3 linked regions of the Bombyx mori genome follow. The protein of the gene in region 2 purifies or fractionates together with the protein of the main gene of each other region. This does not show direct contact. Links are inferred from orthologs where the notes say so. Each region holds a gene or a part of one and is shown on either strand. Other genes may lie near its edges.

Evidence for each region. Proteins that work in one complex are often made in the same cells at the same time.
Region 1: the proteins of small nuclear ribonucleoprotein protein F (region 2) and probable ATP-dependent RNA helicase DDX23 purify together in Homo sapiens (co-immunoprecipitation; 3 studies listed by BioGRID and IntAct, counting the BioPlex papers as one, with this or other methods). This does not show direct contact. The link is inferred for Bombyx mori from reciprocal best matches to the Homo sapiens genes SNRPF and DDX23.
Region 3: the proteins of small nuclear ribonucleoprotein protein F (region 2) and serine/threonine-protein kinase PRP4 homolog purify together in Homo sapiens (co-immunoprecipitation; 3 studies listed by BioGRID and IntAct, with this or other methods). This does not show direct contact. The link is inferred for Bombyx mori from reciprocal best matches to the Homo sapiens genes SNRPF and PRP4K.

The regions. Positions count from the first base shown.
Region 1 is NC_085121.1:15,456,180-15,460,215, forward strand, and holds the start of probable ATP-dependent RNA helicase DDX23, read left to right. Parts: upstream 1-1,236; 5' UTR 1,237-1,420; coding exon 1,421-3,859; 3' UTR 3,860-4,036. UniProt on the Homo sapiens protein: Involved in pre-mRNA splicing and its phosphorylated form (by SRPK2) is required for spliceosomal B complex formation.
Region 2 is NC_085117.1:15,790,780-15,796,389, forward strand, and holds small nuclear ribonucleoprotein protein F, read left to right. Parts: upstream 1-1,345; 5' UTR 1,346-1,423; intron 1,424-1,505; 5' UTR 1,506-1,516; coding exon 1,517-1,691; intron 1,692-2,349; coding exon 2,350-2,441; 3' UTR 2,442-2,738; downstream 2,739-5,610. Other genes in the region: trimethylguanosine synthase, read right to left, coding at 4,944-5,039. UniProt on the Homo sapiens protein: Plays a role in pre-mRNA splicing as a core component of the spliceosomal U1, U2, U4 and U5 small nuclear ribonucleoproteins (snRNPs), the building blocks of the spliceosome.
Region 3 is NC_085107.1:3,226,565-3,230,565, forward strand, and holds the start of serine/threonine-protein kinase PRP4 homolog, read right to left. Parts: upstream 2,801-4,001; 5' UTR 2,657-2,800; exon of another isoform or gene 2,464-2,656; intron 1-2,463. UniProt on the Homo sapiens protein: Serine/threonine kinase involved in spliceosomal assembly as well as mitosis and signaling regulation. Connects chromatin mediated regulation of transcription and pre-mRNA splicing.

The DNA.
Region 1 (4,036 bases), on a different chromosome or scaffold from region 2:
ATTTACACTTTAATAGGAAGTATGTATTATATATATATTGTTATTTGCAAAGATGACGTGATTTAGATGTGTGAAATCTAAGACAATTTCGTGCTTCAATTTGCCAAGTAAACAATATGACGATTTTTAAAAGTTGCTACACTGATTTTATAAACTTGTCGTTTGACAACTCAGTGACGGCAAATCATAAACATATGGCGTAGTACAGTGCCATCTGCCAATTTCTAGCATGCTAAATGTTATCATCGTTTCGTATGTTGCCATCTCGCTCGCACTTGCGTATATGCCGGAAAGGTATAAAAGCTTTATGTCGGCGATAAAACGTTAGCATGCTAGCTATGCTGTTTTGTGTAACCTGTTACCTCTCAATTACAACCTATTTTAATTGTGTTGCTGACTCTAAAGTCCGTAACACAGTACCGCAACATACCTCAAGGTAGGTGCGCTGCACCATTTGAATCACTCTCACTTGAGAGTGATTCAAATTTAAAACGACCCTCCTTGTGACTTCCTCTCTAAAAACACTTATTTATTACAAATTTACCGAATTTACAATAGTTGTTTACTCGCTACGGAATAAAACAATTTTACTTAAATAGTTCCGAAGAGAGATTTTGTCAGTAACCTTTTTCCCGAAATATCTAAACAGAATGTCTAAATATGTTTTGATGACACATTTTATTAAGAGGTATTTATGATTTGTGTCATGAACAATAGATTCCGACCGAAAAATGGTGTCAGAGTTTTCGGAGTAGTGCTCCATAATGAATTTAAATATATATAGATAATACTTTTGGGGCATCGACTTTCTTGGGATCCTATAAAATATTTTTTAATTATTATTTTTGTATGTTTTAAGCGGGGTAGCATGATAAAATAAGAAATTTTATATAAGCAATCATATTAAATCGATATCAAAGTTAATAAATAATGTACAACCCAAGACAGACGGCTGAGCTGACTTACAGTGACATTTGGTGCGCTAAGCATGTCGGATTTTCGGCCTCATTAGATTTTTACGTATATTCATATTTCATTCTATGTACGCACTGAAATACTGTTATATTGTTTTACTGCGAGTTACAGTGCTGAGTAAGAACGAGATAGATATAATATGTTTAGGTGTGTGCCATCAAAATGGGTGCTACTTATTTAAGCAATTGTGCGTATAGAGGAAAACAATATGTCGCGTCTCTATTATATAGGTCTATGGGTTTTTTACTTCAGTGGTTTTTAGGGCCATTTGACAGTTCATAAATTATGTTAATGTCAAAATTGACAAAAATGTGACATTGAAGTTGTTCACATACTGCTACATTTTGTACATGAAAAATACACCGAATTTAATTTTATTGTATTTGCTGTATAATACCTATAAAGAAATTAACAAAATAAAAACCGGTGGTTCCATAAACCAAAAATGGCCCGAGACAGAAGTCCTGAACGGCGGAGGTCAAGATCACGAGATAGAAGAGATCGGGATCGTTACGATGAACGCGAATCGTATCGTGAAAAAGTAAAGCGCAGGGACAGGTCTAAAAGCCCTAAAAAAGATGCGGATAAAGCTCGAAGCCCTTCTAGAAAAGATCGCGATCGTTCTAGGAGTCCACTACGTAAAGAACGCGGTCGTTCGCGCAGCCCTAAGAAACGTGACGGCAAAGACAAAGATCGACGTTACGAAGACAAGGAAAAGAGTAGATCAAAAAAAGAAGATGAAATGGAGGAAGACACTGCAGACATGAAGAAAGAGGATGAATCCATAGATAAAAAACCAATTAAAAAAGAGCCTTTGTCCTTAGAAGAACTACTTGCTAAGAAAAAGGCTGAGGAAGAAGCCCGCAGTAAGCCAGTATTTCTTACCAAAGAGCAACGAGCACAGATAGCTTTGGAGAAACGGCGTCAAGAAGTAGAAGCTATAAGAGCTAATACTGATAAGCCTCAAGTCACTATTGATTTAACAGGTCCGTCAAGACGGGAAGAAGATAAAAGGCACAGAGAAGAACGTGAAAAAGATAGAGAAAAGGAACGTCGAGAGGAACGGGAAAGGAAATATGAAGAGAGGAAAGCCTATTCAGATCGTCGAGAACCAAAAAAAGATAATGAAGAGACATCTAAAACAAAAGATAAAGAAAGAGAAGAAGAGGCTATTAAAGCTCGTTACTTAGGTATAGTAAAGAAAAAGCGTAGAGTAAGACGGCTGAATGACAGGAAATTTGTTTTTGACTGGGATGCGTCAGAAGATACATCAAATGATTATAATGTTTTGTACAAAGAAAGACATCAAGTACAATTCTTTGGTCGTGGACACATTGCTGGTATAGATATCAAGTCTCAAAAGAAAGACCATAGCAAATTCTATGGGAATCTTTTAGAAAAGCGCAGAACTGAGTTAGAGAAAGAACAAGAAAAACTACGCTTGAAGAAAGTGAAGAAGAAGGAAGACAAGCAAAAGTGGGATGATAGACACTGGTCTGAGAAAGATGTGGATGAGATGACAGAGCGTGATTGGAGGATATTCAGGGAAGACTACAATATTACCTTAAAAGGAGGTAAAATTCCTAACCCTATACGTTCTTGGAAGGAAGCTCCCTTGCATACTGACATTATGGACATAATCAACAAAGTTGGATATAAGAGCCCAACTCCTATTCAAAGGCAGGCTATTCCAATTGGATTACAGAACCGTGACATTATTGGTGTTGCTGAAACTGGTTCCGGTAAAACATTGGCATTCCTTATACCATTACTTACATGGATTCAATCTCTGCCAAAGAGTGAACGTATGGAAGATGCTGACCAAGGACCTTATGCTATAATTTTAGCTCCAACACGTGAATTGGCTCAACAAATCGAAGAAGAAACTAATAAATTTGGTATTCCTCTTGGTATCACATCAGTAGTGGTTGTTGGAGGTTTATCTCGTGAAGAACAAGGTTTTAAGCTGAGGTTAGGCTGTGAGATTGTCATTGCCACTCCCGGTCGTCTTATTGATGTCTTAGACAACAGATATTTAGTACTAAACCGTTGTACCTATGTTGTTCTTGATGAAGCTGATCGGATGATTGATATGGGTTTTGAACCGGATGTTCAAAAAATCCTGGAATACATGCCTGTATCGAACATAAAACCTGATAGTGATGCAGCTGAAGATGCTTCAGTATTGCTTGCCAATTATAACACAAAAAAGAAATACCGACAAACTGTGATGTTTACGGCAACAATGCCTCCGGCTGTAGAGCGGCTGGCTAGAAGTTATCTCAGAAGACCGGCTATTGTATATATTGGATCTGTAGGAAAACCAGTAGACAGAACTGAACAAATAGTCTACATGATAGGCGAGAATGAAAAACGTAGAAAACTTACAGAGATTTTGCAGCGTGGTGTCGAACCACCCATTATTATTTTTGTTAACCAGAAAAAAGGTGCAGATGTTCTTGCAAAGGGACTTGAAAAACTTGGTTTCAATGCCTGTACGCTGCATGGTGGTAAAGGCCAAGAACAACGTGACTTTGCACTTGCCAGTCTCAAAGGGGGCGCTAAAGATATCCTCGTGGCGACAGACGTGGCAGGTCGTGGTATTGACATTAAAGATGTCAGTATGGTCATTAATTACGATATGGCGAAGACTATTGAAGACTACACTCATCGTATCGGCCGTACCGGTCGTGCAGGAAAAACTGGTAAAGCTATGTCCTTTGTTACAAAAGAAGACTCCGCATTGTTCTATGATCTGAAGCAGGTTTTGTTGGCAAGTTCCGTATCTACGTGTCCACCGGAACTTATGAACCACCCTGAGGCTCAACATAAGCCAGGGACAGTCGTAACAAAGAAGAGACGTGAAGAGATGATATTCGCTTGACAATCCTAGTTATAGTCTAAAATAATAAGCAATAGGTAAATTACCATCATGGTCACCAGCAAGTTATAAAGTCTATAGTTACTTTAGTTCTAACACATTTTAAACATCCACTTTTAGAATCAAAAGAATGTAATTTTAACTAAAATTCGTATATATTTCGAGAAATAAAAACAATAA
Region 2 (5,610 bases):
TTCATATAAGGTGCATTAATGTAAAAAATTGCAAAACTCATAGATAGATCGTAAACGTAAAAATCTATATTTTCATTGATTCAACACTGATTCACATCAAATTTTTACTATTCTGCAACACTACTTTGACATTGACTATTTGACGTTATTGGAACTTTTTTAATCACGTTAGATTGAATTCTGGTCTTTTAAGCCAAAAACCCATTGAAATAGTGTTTCGCCCATTTAATTATTCGAATCCATTTAACATTTATTTTAACAATATGTACATTTTGTCTTTAAAATGGTTTGGTGTTATAGCTCTACTCTCAGCATAAGCACTTCAACACACAATGTTGAAGTTCTCGTTTTCTATTCCCAAAATAGTTTTATAAAAAAACCGACTCTACTTTCAATTATTTGATGGTTTTTAGTTAGGCCAAAGATCGTTCATACCATCTTTAATTAAACAAACTTATCTAAATGTTTTTATTGCTAATATATAGTTTTATGGAAGCTTTTCACATATTTTTTCTTCTCTTCACATTTTATCAATAGCGAATTCCTCCAAATACGTTGAGAACTTTCAGCTTAGGTGTGTCGTTTTAGTCGCTACAAGCCCTTCTCTATTAGTTAAACATATTTGAAAGTGTAAAAGATTGTGGAAATATAACAAAATCACTGGACCTGACTTCTCAGGACTTTATGTTTATATAAATTAAAGAAAATAATTACCATTTTCTGTAGTTTTTTTTTCAACTGGGCTTCAATAATAATAAGATGAAATACATACTATTATTAATTTTTTACTACATTTTTTTAAAGGGATTTTATGACCTGGACTAACTAAAACTTTTAGGTCAAGTCTTATTTTAATTTTATGTTACGTAACTTTTTTATATGAAAATTATAGAAATGAAATGAAGTTGAATAATATGAAACATGGCATGAAGTGAAATGAAAACGAAATGAAATGAAATGAGATGAGATGATATGGGATGAAGTATAATCTCAGTAAAATGGTGATCATTTACTGAGACTTTTTCAGTGGACTTTTTGGAAGATCTCGAGAACTTACGTTCAGTGGCTTTGTTTCGTTTTCCCACATTTGTGCACTTTCACAGTTACAGTTAAGCAGTTAATAAGCCACCGTTATTACACATTTAAACCTGAAGAAAGACTAATTAGACAAAATAAAACAAACCACTCCTCGCGTTCCCGCCGAAAAGTCCTAGAAAGAACTAATTATAATAAATTTTAAACTACCTGTGTTTTATCTATGGTGGTGTATTATCTATGAGTAGCTGATGGCCGTGTTGCAAATTCAATGCTTTCATAAATAAAAAATAAAAAAATATCTATGAGTAGAAATTAGCGTCGAACTCGAAGCGAAGCCGATACATTTTGAGGTTATATTTTGTATTTCTTGTTAGCCGATATTAAAGTAAGTACTGATGTTTCTTAAATAAGCAATGAAAACAATAAAGGTGGTTTGAAAATGAATTAACATCCAATTTACTTTTTAGAACCTGCAAAAATGGCGGCTGCTATGCCAATAAATCCCAAACCATTTCTTAATAGTCTAACGGGTAAATCCGTGCTAGTTAAATTAAAATGGGGTCATGAATACAAAGGTTTGTTAGTATCAACAGATGGCTACATGAATTTGCAACTTGCTAATACTGAAGAACTTGTCGATGGAACTTGTACAGGTTAGTATTTAAGTGAACAACTTTAAGTAATCACGAAAACATATTAAAGCAAGAGATTAAGATCTACTGGTAGTGGACCTGGACCAAAATTGAATTAAAAATGAGACGTTCATTGTTTGTTTGGTCTATTATGAGTACACTATTCTGCACCCATTTCGACTTCAAAGCTTTCAAGCATTCTGCTTTGAAGAGTAGATTTAATATTCATATTGTAATAAACTTATAAATTCTAGAAGCCACTTAACACTAAATGTCATGGGGTTCATTTGCCCTTTTAAAGAAAAAAAAAGTACTTGCTACAAAGAATGCACAAAATCAATAAATTTCATAACAAGAGACAACTTGACACTTACAAGATTCCAAACCAAACTTTTTGGTTGTGAATAGTTTTGTGAATTTAATTAATTTAAATTAGTAAATAAAATTTAGAAATCAAATCTTAACATTTAAATATTTTTTTTTATATTTTTTTTTAAGAATCTTTTTTATTGTAATTCAGTCCATGCTACATCAAACTTAATGAAGTCATATCAGCAGAGTTCTGTAAAGCTTTAACGGCGTTTGTTTTGAATACTAGTTCAGTTAGTTCTGTTAGTCCATACATACAAAACACTAAATTAAGAACCCTATTAATTTAAGTATTGGGTTTTATTTCCAGGTAATTTAGGTGAAGTTTTAATAAGATGCAATAATGTCTTGTATGTAAGAGGAGCTGATGAAGAAGATGAAGAAGGAGAAATGAAAGAATAATTAGTAATTATTACATAAGTTAGAATAAGGAATTATCTTAAGAATAACAGGCAAAAGGGAAATTTTAAGCAAAAAAATAGAAATTTCATATTACTCTGTTAGCAGTAAAATTACCTTAGGTATATATCCCGAAATACTAATGATTGAGGAGAAAAATGTTAATTGGAACTATTGTTGTATACAATGTTTAAATGAAACAACTTTAATACTTTTTTTTTTTTAATAACTATGTCTGAAACAACCTCTTCAGCATGAATTCCATAACTTGTATAATTAATTATAAGTAAATTTTCACCATAACCTTGTTTTATTTTCTCAACACTAACTTTACAAGAAAAGGTTTGCGATTTATATTGTCCTTGCAAAAAATGAGCATGTGAAAACAGGGAAATATATTGAAATCTAATGATCTTCAATGTATTTTACCCCATTCCTTCTTGCTCTTTTTTGGCCTTTGGGTATTAGATTCCAAATTCGTTTAAAAACACAACCTCATTCGCAAAAACAATTTTCATTTAAAAAAACTTTGGTTCTCATTCTGGTTATGATTTGAAACTAAAAAGTAAATAATACAACCTTATTTTAATATAGTTAAAGCTCTAGAAGTGACTAAAAAGAGATGCATATTATTTTATAGTATCTAGTCTGTGAGAGAACGAGATAGAAAACTCCTACAGGTTACACTTCTACATTTTGCGAATTGCTGCACACTTTGTATTGCTCTGGATGAAGAAAAAAGCTGACTGCCTACTTGGTATTAAGTAGTTGCCATAGCCCACTACATAAATCATCACTCATCTTAAGCCTTGATGCATGAGGTACAGAATGCAGGATAGTGATATTATCTCATTTATGCTTATCCTGCATTCCACTTAGAATTACGAACTTATAAACATTGCCCATTCGAATTTGAACGCCTACAGGATAAGCTATTGATTGTGGAAGTCGGTGAACAAGCATTAGAACATATTTAGAGCAGACCTAAAGACAGGTCACAAACTAATGTCCTACATTAGTCTATCGTGCACGGATGACTGAAATTCTTATAGTCCATTTCGCGAGACAATAGTACTCTTAATGTCAGGGCAATACCAAAAAAAAAATTTTGGTTAACTGTAAAGTCGGTTTACGGACGATAGTTTTACACGTTAAAGTCAGTAGGAGAACTATTCGAACTGCTAGTTCTGACGTCACGCGACATAAATGTGTCACAAGCCAACACTTGGGTCGACTCTGGTCACCGTCCTCGTCGAACCCGTCGCTTGCGACGAAGGGCTCGACGAGCGAATTAACCCATAGACACAGCCCACTGAGTTTCTCGCCGGATCTTCTCAGTGGGTCGCGTTTCCGATCCGGTGGTAGATTCTGCGAAGCACTGCTCTTGCTAGGGTCAGTGTTAGCAACTCTCCGGTTGAGCCCCGTGAGCTCACCTACAAACCTTAGGGTGAAGCTGAAATAGCCTCTCATGGCTATCAGCATAGGTAGGGAAAAAAAAGGGCCGATCGTGCCTCTATCGCATGTTCCGTGCTCTCGCTTGCACGCTCAGGCGGAACGTGACATTTTTTCGTGCGTGTAGCCAATACTTATCGATTAATCACGTCAAAATGCTATCCCTCTGTCTTGTATAAGTATTTGTTAAAATGTGAGTGGGTAACATAATAAAACCACTGTAATGAATAAAATGGTTTTATCAGATTTTTCAAAAAATCCGCCTAAGACTCGGCACAAGATGATACGATTTCGCTGAAGACAGATACGATTTGAAATCTTCACGACTTTTGAGAGGATAAAAACAGCGTCGAAGACACCTTCTTCGACAGTAAAGCGAGAATGCATCAGCCCACTGAGTTTCTCGCCGACACTTCTCAGCGGATCGCTATCACAATGTCGTTATCGATTCATTAGCGAAACAGCTGCTCTTGATGTGTTAGGTTTGCTATGAAGAAGTTCAGGCAGTTGTTAATACATTCTAGATTTATGAGAAACACCCATTTATTAAAAGAAATCGAGCGCCACCTCTCGTTATTTTGTGGTACTATGAACCTTCCCTGAAATACCAACAACCACTGTTTACATCTTTCAACTGTTGTGTATAACTTTTATATAGTATCTTGTAATGTGAAAATACTACTTACTGAACATTCAATCAATTTACATTTCCGGAAAGGGATTAGGTAAATCCAAAATAATAATCACAAATCGAAGGTTTGAAATAAGTAAATTTATTGTACATAAAGGACATAAAAAAAAACATAATCATTTAAAATCTGTAGCAAACACGATCAAATTATGATTTCAATATTTATCAAAATATTCTTTATAAACGGATAAATTCACCTCAACTTAAAACTAACAAAAAAACGCCGTCCACGTGAACATTATTTTTAAAACTGACGTTTTGTGTCAGAACAATCGGTAATACACAGAGTAACATAACATTCTCACTTTGAGCATCGACTAATCTAAATATTGCTTACAATTTCGTAATGTAATTATTGAATTTCAATAGTAATACGCTGTTATCGCAACAAATCTTCTGTCGAGGTAATTCTGTTCCACTTCCAATGAGCCGCTCATGTTTCTTGCTAACGAGATTATCTGAGAACAAAATAAAAACCTTAAATGTTTTAGGTATATTCAGTAACGCGCGAACAGTTTATTTACGACTTAATCATTTTGATAACGACATTAATGCGTTTAAGTTTATTGTACGCAAATAATGATAATTTTAAACAATGACGAACTAACGTAGGAGAAAAAATATCCGAATTTGATTTTTAGTTTATTTTTTTACTGCTTAGATGGGTGGACGAGCTCACAGCCCACCTGGTGTTAAGTGGTTACTGGAGCCCATAGACATCTACAACGTAAATGCGCCACCCACCTTGAGATATAAGTTCTAAGGGCTCAGTATAGTTACAACGGCTGCCCCACCCTTCAAACCGAAACGCATTACTGCTTCACGACAGAAATAGGCAGAGTGGTGATACCTACTCGTGCGGACTCACAAGACGTCCTATCACCAGTAATTATGCAAATTATAATTTTGCGGGTTTGATTTTTATTACACGATGTCATTCCTTCACCGTGGAAGTTAATCGTGAACATTTGTTAAGTACGTATTTCATTAGAAAAATTGGTACCCGCCTGCGGGATTCGAACACCGGTG
Region 3 (4,001 bases), on a different chromosome or scaffold from region 2:
GCAAGTAGCCTTCACCAAACTTAGCCTTTGCAAAAAGGACTGCCAGTCAACAAATTTAAATGGTACTCAACTTCCTCATCAACATATGATTAAGTAGTTGTTAGTACATACAAATGCACTTAGAACACAGAATTACATGGAAAAAACATGTGCAAACAAAAGAGTTCTAAATAACCTGAAGTACAAAGGTCTGGTTACTCAGTAGAAACTGAAAACTAGCAATCAACAAATATACAGTATAATTCATAAGCCTATTTGGACATATTGTATTGAAGTATGGGGCACACCCTATATATAATGTATAATATCTAAGGGTATAAAAGTATAATTACTGGTGGTCGGACCTCTTGTGAGTCCACACAGGTAGATACTACTACCCCGCCTATTTCTGCAGTGAAGCAGTAATCCGTTTCAGTTTGAAGGGTGGGGCAGCCGTTATAACATACTGAGACCTTAGAACTCATATCTCAAGGTGAGTGTCAGCATTTACGTTGTAGATATTAATGGGCTCCAGTAACCAATTAACACCAGGTGGGCTGTGAGCTCGTCCACCCATTTAAGTACTTAATATAAAAAAATATATATTTTGGGACAAAGAAATATATTTGATGGTTCATCAAAACATAGGAGATCTATGAAATCTTTGAGCTGCCAATGGTCAAGAAATGATAAAAATGCTATTGGCCCCACAAGCCACAATTGTAAAAATATCCTAAACAGCTTGCATGTTTGCATATTTGATGAAAATACCCATCCGGAACTGGATGACTACATAAAAAATAAGGTAAGGCTCTGCTGGGAGTACTCTAATACCTAGCACACTATCTCATCTACATATAGTCCACACAACTAAGGGCATAATAAAGAGATAATATAATATATATGTGCATAATAAATTATATATTAATGATAGAAACTTGTATAAATAATATATAAGTTTCTATCAGTTATCTATTATATAAGTTTGGGCTCAGAGCCTCCCTTGTGTTAAATAGTAGCAGGTAACTTTCCTCAAATGTTTGAATGTATGTATGTAATTATACATTTTATCATACGTTTATAATAGGTAGTAATAAACTTTTGTATTTTTGATATAAAAAGTTTATAGCAATACTTAAATAATTAATAAATTATTTTTAGAATTTTTTTTTTATAGGAAGTGAATTTAAAAAGTTGTTATTTTCACTTTTTATCCTACTCAGTACATTTGTATGTAATGGAATTTTTCATTTAAATTTTCACTAACTTGAAAATTAAAACATGCATTAAACTCTGGTGACAACCGTATCGCTTGGACTTTTATTCCTATAAAAAGTAAGGATAATAATTTAGATAACAAAGTACTGGTCAAGCTGATTAAAGTGTATTACAAATAAAAAGCAATCTGCTTACTACCAAGGATGGCCCAAGTATTAATCAACACTATAATCAATGGCGGATCCAGGGGGGGGGTCATGGGGGTCATGACCACCTCGTGAGCTGGTTCCAGGACTTAGGTGGACAACTAATTGAATATAATGATTTTATTTATATATTTTGTCACCATACAGATTTTATGTAACTACATACCTTCAATATTTAATTAATTAAATATAATAACTTTGTATAATGGCAAACGCTTGGGAACGAACGCATCTAAATTTGACTATGTGACCCCCTCCTGGCGCCAAAGCTGGATCCGCCCTTGACTATAATAAACTGAACACAAACTTTCAACAGTTTAAAAGACTTTCACAATAAATTGTATCTCCTTTGATTTTACAATCAGTAAATAGAGCAAGCTCCACGTTTAATTTTTCCAAGTATATGGTTCTAAGCGCTTCTCCGGTTAGTAAATGTAATCTCATGACAACTGGTCCTTCTCTGGACTGTAGATTTTATTGGGGCCAATAACAGTTTTATAATTAATTATATTATATTATTTAGTTTTATGATTATTGCTCAATAAGCACATAAAATGACATCAATTTTGCAAAATAAATAAAACGATTTTTAAATAATGTATCACTGACGAGAAATTTTCATTGAAACTGCTGTCTTCAGAATTATTAACCTTAAAATTTTGTAACTTGGAAATACAAATTTTGCTAAAAAAAAATTGCTTCTTGATGTCACTTCAAATATATGGATGTCCTTATTTGTAACCCATTTTCTAATTATATGCTTAATGACTGATTAAACTACACTTTGTGAAAAAAAGTACTTTTGATAATATAAATCACGAAACTCTATAAAGAGTTCACTGATGTTTTTGAAAACGGAATTCATATAATCAGTGGTGAAAATGCTTTCGCTGTGCGCTTTAAGTTCACTGAGATTCGCAAACTTTTAAAACATTTCGTTCGAAGCGTTCCTATTCTTTTTTTTTTTTTTGTTAATGATATTATTATCCAGAAGATAACAATAGCGTTTTGAGAGACAATTCGCTAAGAATGGGAATAAACTTGATTTTTCTAAACATACCGCTATTCCCGTTGCAATCTTTCCAAAAAACAAACTAAATTACGAAAAAATCCAAACATTTGTGGGCATTGTTTCACAGACAAATAGTTCGATAAACTTTGAATAAATTCAATAATAAAAATGTGTGAACTGTACAGTAACTTAGAGAAAATGTATTTCTATTTAGCTTTAAATTATTGTAACTAAACTTCACCTTTAATGAGTAGGTTACTACTATTTAAGTAGAACAAAACTATAAAATAATAAACGTGACACTCTATCTATCAAAGTATCAAACCGTCACGATTTATTTTGTTTTTACAGAGTTCCAACTGGCAATGAAATTTATTCCATAAAACCAAATCAAGGCTTATCCTATAAGTTACCAGAAATCATGTACTCTATGGTCGATTGATCTTCCTAAATTTAAAAAAAAGAATAGAAACCTTTTTTACTTATAATGATTATATACATACCTATATTTTATGTGTGTTTATTTAAATAATACGCTAGTAAAAAATACGCTAGTTTAATGGAATGAAGAATAGATAGACTTTTTAGAAGTAACGCGAGAAGTAAAGTGGTATGAATTGTTTTACTGTGTTTCTTCTTAAGCCGTTTGTCATTGGGAAAGTGAACTAGTACGGAAAGATTAAATAAAGCTATTAGACGTGGCTTGTCAGTCTCTTTCAAAAAATCTACTGAAGTCTCACTAAGTTCCCATCATTTGAACTGGGACATTTCATCACATCTCATCTCGTTTCATTTTATTTGATTTTCTTCAATTTCGTCCCAATTTATAAGTTTTATATTATAGCTTCATTACATTCTGTTATGTAAATATTCATAATTATAGACTATATAAAGTCACCAAATGCTATAGGTACTTAGAAAAAAGAAGCAAGCCATTTAAGCAATGATGCCAACTTAGGAGATTTCTCCCTAGCTTAGGAAAAAATAAATTTATAACTGTGAATGTAAATGAGACAAATTGACCCAATTAAACCACCAATTTCTACAACTATGCACTCCTATTTTCTGATTTAAAGGATAAGACCACCGTTATACAATAGAGAGACTTTGACTTTGTGTCTAAATTTTTATAAAGGAAACAAAACTAATCAAAGCGATCGATTTTGTTAGCCTTCAGTATTATGTCGAGAGTCGAATAATTGCGTGGATGATTAGTATGCAATGATCACTTTGACTGTGGAAAAACTTGCAGACCTCTTGTGCTTTGAGGTATTGAAGCTTGTTTAAAGTATCAGACGGTTTCTATAATATGAGATTAAATGTAGAATTCTTCGTTTAAAACTAAATCTTGTGTTTGTTCCGTACATTTTAGGCCTAATAGACAATACAGTAAAGTAAAGTAGGTACAATCTTTGAATCTAGATAGATTATTCTCAAGTATGTAGTGTGTTAGGGCATATAGTAAGATAGGTGATATTAATATATATATAAGTTCCAGACAGATTCCCGGGGCTTGCAGTGCGCATTACAGTATGCTATAATAAATCTATTGATTGATAGCTTTGACATGCGCAAAGAGCCAGAGT